2 linked regions of the Arabidopsis thaliana genome follow. The protein of the gene in region 1 binds, or shares a complex with, the protein of each later gene. Each region holds a gene or a part of one and is shown on either strand. Other genes may lie near its edges.

Region 1 (4,993 bases):
CGTAAGATATAAGATTATGACAAGAACTTAACCAAACTTTACAATAACATCAAGTTGAATATGATTAGATTGGATATGCAGAGACATGATTAATAAAGACATGTTATATTTTTAATGTAAAAAACAAATTTTCTAAAATTTCACCGTCTCACAAACTAAATATATAACCAAAAGAACAAAGATATATAAATTAAAAAAAAAACTGAGAATCTAAAACAACAATAAAAAACAACTCAAGCACTTTCGTTTTCAGATGAACTAATATAGTTGGACTTTTTGAAAACAATTACAAATCATATTTATGTTTCAAAATCGATGCATTCAACTTTACTTTATATGAACAGACATTATATAAAACAATTTGTAAATAGTAATACATAAACCCGCACGTAGTGCGGGTATTCATCTAGTTATTAATGAAACAAACTACCCCTCAAGTAAGGAATCTTAACAACAACATCCCCAACTAAATAATCAATGAAAACACCCTCAAATAATGGTTACTCAAACAAAAAAATCCTGAACTTTCTATTTTGGTTTGTTGAAAATAACATTTTTTGCATAAAAACAATAACAGATGTAATCATTTGAAAATCTGAAACGATCAATCAATATAACCAAGATATTGTTTTAGAAGTTGATGAAATTGACACTTTACACGAGTTAGTACACAACAGAGCGAATGGTTCGCAGGACCTCTTTAGATATGAACAGAAACAAGGAACAGAGGCAAAATACTCTCCCTAAGGAGATTTTTTAAAATATTATTATGTCAAATCCTAAATCTAAACCCCAATCCAAAGAGATTTGCAATGTGGTCAATCCTGTGGTCCAAATTGATGATAAATAGCCGAATCCACGTTAGAGAAATCATGGACTATTTAGTTCTAATCATATTATTCATACTAAGAAAGAATGTGGTTGAATCAATGGGAAGCTTGATCAATGTGAGGTCATTACTCCATTGTTTGGCCTTTTGGTGGAGACAACATCAGTAAATGCGTCGACAAGTTGGCCAGCAAGGCTACCTGGATCATCCTCTAAAGTCTGCACAAATGTGCTCACAACAGATTGCTCCTGAGCGGTTGAGCTCATGCTGAACCATGTCAAGAACCTGACCCTGAATGTTGTTTTAATGTGGCCTTCACGCTCCAGCCACCTGATCACCTTCACACATTTCTCAAGAGTGTCATCAATCGACGAACTGTCACACTCGTGGTTCTCTGAGTCATTACTGTCTGAAATTGCTTTCCTCTTCCTGGTCATGAGGAAATCAAATCCGGTATCATCACCACTTCCATCTGATATAACCAAGCAGTCGTTGTTGTTCTTCCGTCTACCGTTAGACACAGCATCATCACAGTTATCATCATGATCACCACCATCAGCCTCAGCAAGCGAATTTAGCGGCACTCCATTGTCTTCACCTCCAGAAGAATCAGGTGGAGTGAACTCCTCATTCAAGTCTGGCACTGAAACTACATTTAGATCAAACCCATGTGGCCTTCGAGGTGGCAATTCTTCCTCTGGCGGCTCACAAATTTTCTCAGTATCTACATTGTAAAACGCTTCAAGCAAGCCTTCCTCCTGAGCTTCAGCCAACTGCACATACTTCCCAAGTTGCCCAATTTGAAATCTTGAGGAAATGCTACTTTTCTCCTCTCTATCTGAGGGCTGAGCGTTACCTACTAAATCAATTGTTCTCTTTTCCTTACCATCCACTGGTTTCAATATCTCAACGCTCTTCGTAAAGCACATAGCGTTCGAATGGCCAAATATACCAGCTTCTGTGTAAGAGACAACACGGAATGTGTACTCCGTGCAAGGCTCAAGGTCAGATATCACCATCCTCCTCTCAGTTCTACTGCAATCAACAAATAAATCATCCTCAGGCATCTCTCCTTTCTTGAAATACCATAACTTGTAACCCTTAACATCATATTCTACAGCACTAGGTAGCTCAATCAGACGAAGAGTCACTTGCTTTGGTGCAATATCTTCGAAATGAAACCTGCACGCAGCTGGAACTAAATCTGCAAAAACATATATGAACTTATTTCATTACTCTCTCTTTCAGATTCATTGCAATAAACATATCTCCAATACTAACCTCTACCTGCATTGGCTGACAACTCCCCTGCCTTTTTAATTGCAGAAGTGCAAAGCTCTTGCACATTAGCTGCAACAGGAAGCCTACTAACAATGCCTCTATCAGTTCTAGCAGTAGGTCCATCAAGAGGTCCAACTTCATCCTCCAGCATAGACTTAGCAGCTCTAACAATCTCATGCAATTCACTAAACCGACTAGTCCCATTCAACAGTCTATAACCCAAATCTATTCTATAACACAGTCCATCACGTCGTCGTGCTTCCTTTGCTGCCACAAGCTGCTTTTTCCAACATCTTCATAAACACACACGCACATTGAGTTATACAAAGCCAATTACAGCAATCAAACAAAGAGTAAAGGAAGAAATTTTACCCAAGAATTTGAGAAACTTTGCCACATGAGTAGCAACAAAAACAACCATCAAGCTTCATCAGATTCCCAAGAGCAATAACACCAACTTTGACTTCTCGAAAAGCACACTCAATGTGACACGATAAGCCACAGAACTCAACATCATCAGATTTCTCAGGCTCACAAACTAACCAAAGACTAGGATCCTTGTTTTCATCGAAATTATGACAAACACAACAAGAACATCTCTTGCAAAAGGAATCTTCTTTAGGCACATTAGCTCTACACGATGCATTCTTGCAGATCCATGATGATCTCAAACACCCACCACCACCATCGACGTCTTGTTGTTGTTGTTGTTTCCCATTTGATTCGTGCTTCTTGTTTGACTTTTTGTTCGTCTTGCGTGAATGTGAGATCTTCGATTTCGTCGATGATGAATCCATACTTGCTCAGAAAGAAAAAATTAAAGTCTTTGTAGCTCTTCTTCTTCACAGATGTCTTCGTCGAGAAACAAGGATTGTTTCGTCTTTTTTGATTCAATGTCGAAATTGAGAAACATGGTTCGGTGATTGAGATTACGGAGGAGTTTTCAGGTGGCTGTAGATTTAGGCGTCGCCTGAGAAAACATTGCCGCGGCGGCTGAAATTTGGGGGAAAGAGAGAGGAAGGAGATGAAAGTTAGAGATTCTAGGGTACACGTGTCATTTGTTTTTTTGTTTTTTTATAACATGTATCATATTGGGCCTATTTCTTTAAAGGGCCTCCATTTTCTTAGTTTCGAGATTTTAGGGACAAAAAAAGGGAAGAACACAATTCATGGTTTTAAAATCAAAACCGAATTTTTGGAATATCGGAGTGGTTCTAAATTTCTCAATCCGAATCCTTGTATCCGAATATCGGAGTGTCCATAACTAGTAAATATTTACACACATGTAAATTTTATACATATATAAAAGTATAAAACTAAGCAAATTCGTATATTATATAAATTAAACTAAACACATTCCTATATCATTTTTTCAGTTTAATAATTACGGTTAGGTTCCAGTTTGGCCAATTGAGCCACATAACATAATTATTATATGAGGATATTATTTTTATATAATTAGTATTTTTTATTTAGTTGTCTTTTATTATTTTATCATGGTCTCTTAAAACAAATTTTCATTTTTTCTCAAACAAAAAAAAAAAGAAAAAGAAAAATAGTGAATGTCGAAGGTGGCGATAGGAACGAAGAAGGGGGGAACAACAGAGAAGATATCTTAAGAAAACCAGCGACTTGGTCTTCTACTTGTTCTTCTACTATGGAGAGATTGATACTGCTGGTATATTAGTGAAAACTTTTGGAAGCCTTTTCGATACAGAAAAACAGATTTTTTAATATGCAATGTAAATTAGTCTTTTCGTATTCTACAAAAAATATAGATCCCATAAAAAAAAATTCACAGTAAAAAAATTAGTTTGATTATGTTAGTCATGTATTGATTTTAAGTATGGACACTAACACACATAAACTTTATGAAAAATCATTATGGTTTATACTGAATGTGAGACGGATTTAGAAGATGCAAATAAGTGAATTAACAAAGTTGTACTAAAAGATATATGTTCTTGATAAAAGAGTGAATATTACGTGCAATAATATGGAATCCATAAAATGAGCTGATCCATTTCATAGCTAGATTAGGTAAACGAGGCAACGTATCAGGCTATAACATAGAGGGGGCTCCTATGGTCCACACTCTGCACGACCAAGTAACTATGTACTGACTGATTTTGTAAAATACTTCAGAATCCAATATTATAAACAAGTTTTTAACCAAATCAATATTCTAAGTTAAGATGTATAACGAGTTAATTTAAAATTCAGATTCGTGGTCAAACTTATAAACTTATTATTAGACTTTGAGGACTATCAGAACTAATTATAAAACTTAAGCATGTGCATGTATTTACTATTTAGTGAGGACTGATTATAAATTTCATATTAAACTTGGTAACGACAACCACTTGGTGTTAGTATAAACGTATCATTTAATGAAATATAGGGATATAAAAGTATTTGTGGAATAAAAACACATAAAATTTGATAAGAATTCTCACATCAAAATAAAATATGAATTTAAATATATCAAAAGGATTTTATCCGTTTATTATTGATTGGGTTTGAGTTGAAAACTCATCATAAACCTTGATATGGATTAATTAAAGTGATCTAAAATGAATATAACTAATCTAGCTAATTTAGAATTTGGTCTCAATGAATTAGTTAACAATAGTCATCATTTCAGTGAAGTGTTCGTCATATGATTATTATCGTTTTGAATGTATGGAGAAAAGAAAAGCATCCCCACTAATTTGTATATATGACAAACGAGATAGATTCAAAATGTTACAAAATAGAGTGGAATTGAACAAAACAAAAAAGGGATATAGATTAGAGATTCAGAGAAAATAGATGCATGCATGTGTATGTACGCAAAATTAGATAATGACAATAATATAACATGAAAGATGGAGATTGACATGA
Region 2 (4,429 bases), on another chromosome or scaffold:
GCTTGAGACCTTCCATAATGCGTCTTCTCTCACATTAGCCATCCAAGTAAACTAAACATCTCCTTTCTTTCGTCATTGTTTCTTGCGTCTAAATCTTAATGGATTGGAATTGAAACGATCTAACTTTGGTTTCATGAAAATGGCTTAGGATGGCCCTCAAGCGGGACAGACTGTTCCCCATGTACACATTCATATCTTGCCTCGTAAAGGTGGTGACTTTGAGAAGAATGATGAAATCTATGATGCTGTAAGTTGTTGCATTTTGATCACATTCCTAGCTTTGGTTTTATACAAATCTTATGGTGGTATCTTCTTGTAGCTTGATGAGAAGGAGAAGGAACTGAAGCAGAAGCTTGATCTAGATAAAGACCGGGTTGATAGGAGCATTCAGGAGATGGCTGACGAGGCTTCCCAATACAGATCTCTTTTCGATTGCTAGTTATCATTTATCAATATCAAATCAAACCAAGCTATCCAGTAGCTTTAATAAGGACCATTGTGACAAGTGACTTTCAGTTTGAAATTTTATGTCAGAGACTTTGATTCAAATTTGTAATTTCTTTCTAATGTCGCCCAATCTGGGTATAAACTAAGAGTTATAGCTTTGGTTGACACTACTTAGTGAGATTAGAATCAACTCCTTCATGTTATAAAGAAAAATTCCCACTTGCTACCATCCTCTCATGCCTCATTTTACACAATGAACACTAAATACTTGAACTAAACAATAGCAGAGATGTATAAATAAATACTGTCCCATAAGATCAGTGCGCTTTGGATACTAAATAACAAGCTAAGAAGCTTTTGATGGTTCTTCCCCTGGAGCGTCATCCTCATCATGATAGATGTTTTCAGCCATTTGCCATATTTGGAGTATGTTGTCCTCAGCAACACTGGAAATAACCCAATCTTCACAAGGGTTCCACGAGAAATCTGAAATTTTGCTAGTGTGACCACCGTGAATAAACAGCAGCTCAGGTGGGCCGTCTTCTGCGTCCTCCACTGTCTGTTCCTCATCGATCCTATCATAAGACACCCTCAAACATATCAATATTGCTCCTCCATGACCATACATGAACATTAAACTAAAGAACTAAAGTCTACGGCCCAAACCTGCTAAGGTCCCAAACCATAAGTCTTCTACCAAGGCAACATGAAGCTAAAATAGTCTCGTTCTTTGGGTTCCAACCAACTTGAAAAACCTCCTCTCTGGAGATCAAGCACATAATTAAGGTTAGTGATGTTGCTGTAACTTGTAAATACTTCTTAGTAACACAAAATCCATCTCAAAGCGGCAATATTTATGGCGTATCATTCTTACTTGTGGCTATCAAATGTGTGAAGAGCGGTGCTTAGCTTCCGTAGATCGAATAATTTAACAGTCTTGTCAGTTGATCCTGTTGCCACAACCCACTCATTAAATGGATTGAAGGCTAAGCAGTTAACCTAAGGCATTTCAAACAACTCAACAATTAGCAAATACATACGAGGCAATATGATTCAATGGTTTTTAGTGTTAAGGAAAGCAAGCTTAAAAACCAGAAGTATTATCTGTATCTAAAGCTAATATATTGCAAACTCACCTCCATCGAATGAGCAACCACAGACTGTACTGGTTTACTGGCAGATGGAGAACGCAGATCCCATATGAGAAGGTATTGGTCATCTCCAACTGATCCAAACAGGTACTCATGTCTCAGATGCCATGCAACATCTTCCACAACCCCTTCATGAGCCTTAAGTTCAGAAAATAATCATCAGCAAGGAAAACACAGAAACCAACCTGAATATCTATCTATGAGCTTTCATAAGTGTAACTGATTCCGTTAAGTGGGTGCAATTCCTTCCTTTCTAGATGATACAAAACAAAACTAAAAACGAATAGAAATCCAAAGCATTACCTTAAAAATCTGCTGAGCGTCCAGAGATTTGTTTTTAGGAGTAGCGTTAATATCCCACAAGCAGATCTGAGCATCATCAGAGCCACTAAGCAAATGACCCTGCTTGAACTTACTCCAAGAGAGACCATATCCCTCAGAGCTGTGACCTCTAAGCTTTAAATCAGGATTACAAGCCCCATCAAGAGGAGGCTTAGATGGATGCTTACTGTAATCGAAAACATAGACCTCCGCATTAACTGTCTTGGTAGCAATTATGAAAGGGTTTTGAGGCATATAGCGAGCTCGATTAACCTCACCATCATGATTTATCTGCTGGATAATTTGTACCTACACAAGCAATCAAACTAACATTTATCATCCTTTACCTCGTTATAACCCTAGAATCAAATCTAGAAAGTTGGAAATGAGAAACAAAAATAAAAAATCGCACCTTTCCAGTTGCACAGCCAAAGCCACCAAATTCAGAGCGGTCATCATCGTACTGACGAGCTTCACTCTCGGTATCGTCAAGAGGAAGCTGAACTTGGGCTAGCATCAAGTAATTGGGCTCGCTCTCGGAGGTATGGGTACCGAGAATCATCTTCTGAACGGAGTAGTCTTTACCGGAAGGTTCTTCACGGTCAGGAAGCCATTCAACAGTAAGTGAAGGCCACTCGAGAGCGTGAGTAATAACGAGATCGTAGAGGAAAGGAGTGTTCTTCTTCCAGATCTTGTACTCTTCATTGATTAGTCGCTCCTCGATCTCACCTCGCATTTCCTCTTCGTCTTTCCCCATATCGGCGATGTCTTTGTTATTCCCGCCACAAGAACAAGGCAAAACCCTAAAACAGATCTCTTTACAAATTGTAAGAAACTTCTCGCTTCTGTTTCTGAATAATTCACATATAGAAGATGATGAATAAAAAAAGGAAGAAGATAAAGAAAAGGCCCATTTTTGAAAAGCCCGTTTATGAAAAGGCCCAATTAGATGACTTTTGATCTTACACCAGTCAACAGAAGTGAGGATTGGAGAAAAGAGAGAAAAAATGGCGATGGAGATCGGAGAAGATGAATGGAAGGTTTGCTGTGGAAGCTCCGAATTCGCGAAGCAGATGTCTACGTCTGGACCGTTAACTTCTCAAGAAGCAATATATACTGCAAGAGACATCTGGTTCAACCAAGTTAATGTGACAGATTGGCTTGAAGCTTTCTCTGCTCATCCTCAGATTGGGAATACTCCTTCACCTTCTATCAACTCCGATTTTGCTCGTCGGAGCGTATCAGAACAGTCAACCGCCTTTGCCACAACTTCTGCTTCTGCTTTACAGGTGATGGATCTTCACTTTTTTTTTCCTTCATCTCTTCAGTGATTTCTTCTTCTGATGATCAATTGTTTTCAATTTCTTAGGAGCTTGCCGAATGGAATGTACTTTACAAAAAGAAGTTTGGCTTTATCTTCATTATTTGCGCTTCTGGCAGGACTCACGCTGAGATGCTCCATGCGTTAAAGGTCAACTTTTGCATTTCCAAATCAGTTTTTGTTGAGTGTGAGTGAATGAGAAAGTTACATATTCATCAAATCGTCTCTTTTTCAGGAAAGGTATGAAAATAGGCCAATAGTGGAGCTTGAGATTGCTGCTATGGAACAAATGAAAATAACAGAGCTACGAATGGCAAAGCTGTTCTCCGATAAGGCTAAAGTTATATCAGAAACTGACAGCTCTAGCTCTCCTGTTTCAACAAAACCTCAAGGTATATTGATGATTTACCAAATCTTTTCCTTGTCAAAGTTTTGTGTTTGACTGTGTGGGTTTGAACCTGTTAGGATTCAGTATGATATCAAGTATGTGTCTTTTGGAATACAAGGATTTACCCTTATGGCTATCTTTGTTATCTGTGTGACCTTTTCTACTTTCTCGCTTTGTAAGATCGTCTGAGAATCATTGGAGGGCATTTGAATGTTGCAGCTGAAGCAAAAGCTCCCAAGAGAAGTAGGCCACCGATCACGACTCATGTCTTAGACGTCTCACGTGGTGCTCCAGCTGCAGGTGTTGAAGTGCACTTAGAAGTGTGGAGTGGTACTACCGGTCCTTCCTTTGTTCATGGAGGTGGTGGGGTCTGGTCCAGTGTGGGCACATCAGCTACTGATAGAGATGGGCGCAGTGGGCCACTGATGGATTTGGTTGACGCTTTGAATCCAGGGACATATAGGATTAGCTTCGACACTGCAAAGTATTCCCCAGGCTGCTTCTTTCCCTATGTTTCCATTGTATTTCAGGTTACAGAATCACAGAAATGGGAGCATTTCCATGTCCCACTGTTGCTTGCACCTTTTTCTTTCTCCACATACCGTGGGAGCTAGAGCTATGCTACTGCTGTCTGCGGCACCAACTTTCCAACACATTTTGTTTTGGTTGTACCACTACGGGAACATGTATCAAAATTGCTATGAAATGAAGTCTTTATTCGACATGTATAAAAATTGCTATGAAATAATGTCTATTCGAGTATTTATTTGGATTTGTAGTTCTGTAGAACAAACAATGAAT

Evidence for each region.
Region 2: VRN5 (region 1) and MSI1 share a complex: the UniProt entries of both Arabidopsis thaliana proteins name them as parts of the plant homeodomain / polycomb repressive complex.

The regions. Positions count from the first base shown.
Region 1 is NC_003074.8:8,875,265-8,880,257, forward strand, and holds VRN5 (Fibronectin type III domain-containing protein), read right to left. Parts: upstream 3,218-4,993; 5' UTR 2,908-3,217; coding exon 2,483-2,907; intron 2,404-2,482; coding exon 2,111-2,403; intron 2,034-2,110; coding exon 943-2,033; 3' UTR 520-942; downstream 1-519. UniProt on the Arabidopsis thaliana protein: Involved in both the vernalization and photoperiod pathways by regulating expression of the related floral repressors FLOWERING LOCUS C (FLC) and FLOWERING LOCUS M (FLM).
Region 2 is NC_003076.8:23,554,359-23,558,787, reverse strand, and holds MSI1 (Transducin/WD40 repeat-like superfamily protein), read right to left. Parts: upstream 2,777-4,429; 5' UTR 2,677-2,776; coding exon 2,332-2,676; intron 2,229-2,331; coding exon 1,902-2,228; intron 1,737-1,901; coding exon 1,584-1,736; intron 1,447-1,583; coding exon 1,322-1,446; intron 1,210-1,321; coding exon 1,114-1,209; intron 1,023-1,113; coding exon 794-1,022; 3' UTR 543-793; downstream 1-542. Other genes in the region: FHIT (FRAGILE HISTIDINE TRIAD), read left to right, coding at 1-46, 149-247, 320-439; TTL (transthyretin-like protein), read left to right, coding at 2,927-3,208, 3,289-3,390, 3,476-3,632, 3,809-4,242. UniProt on the Arabidopsis thaliana protein: Core histone-binding subunit that may target chromatin assembly factors, chromatin remodeling factors and histone deacetylases to their histone substrates in a manner that is regulated by nucleosomal DNA.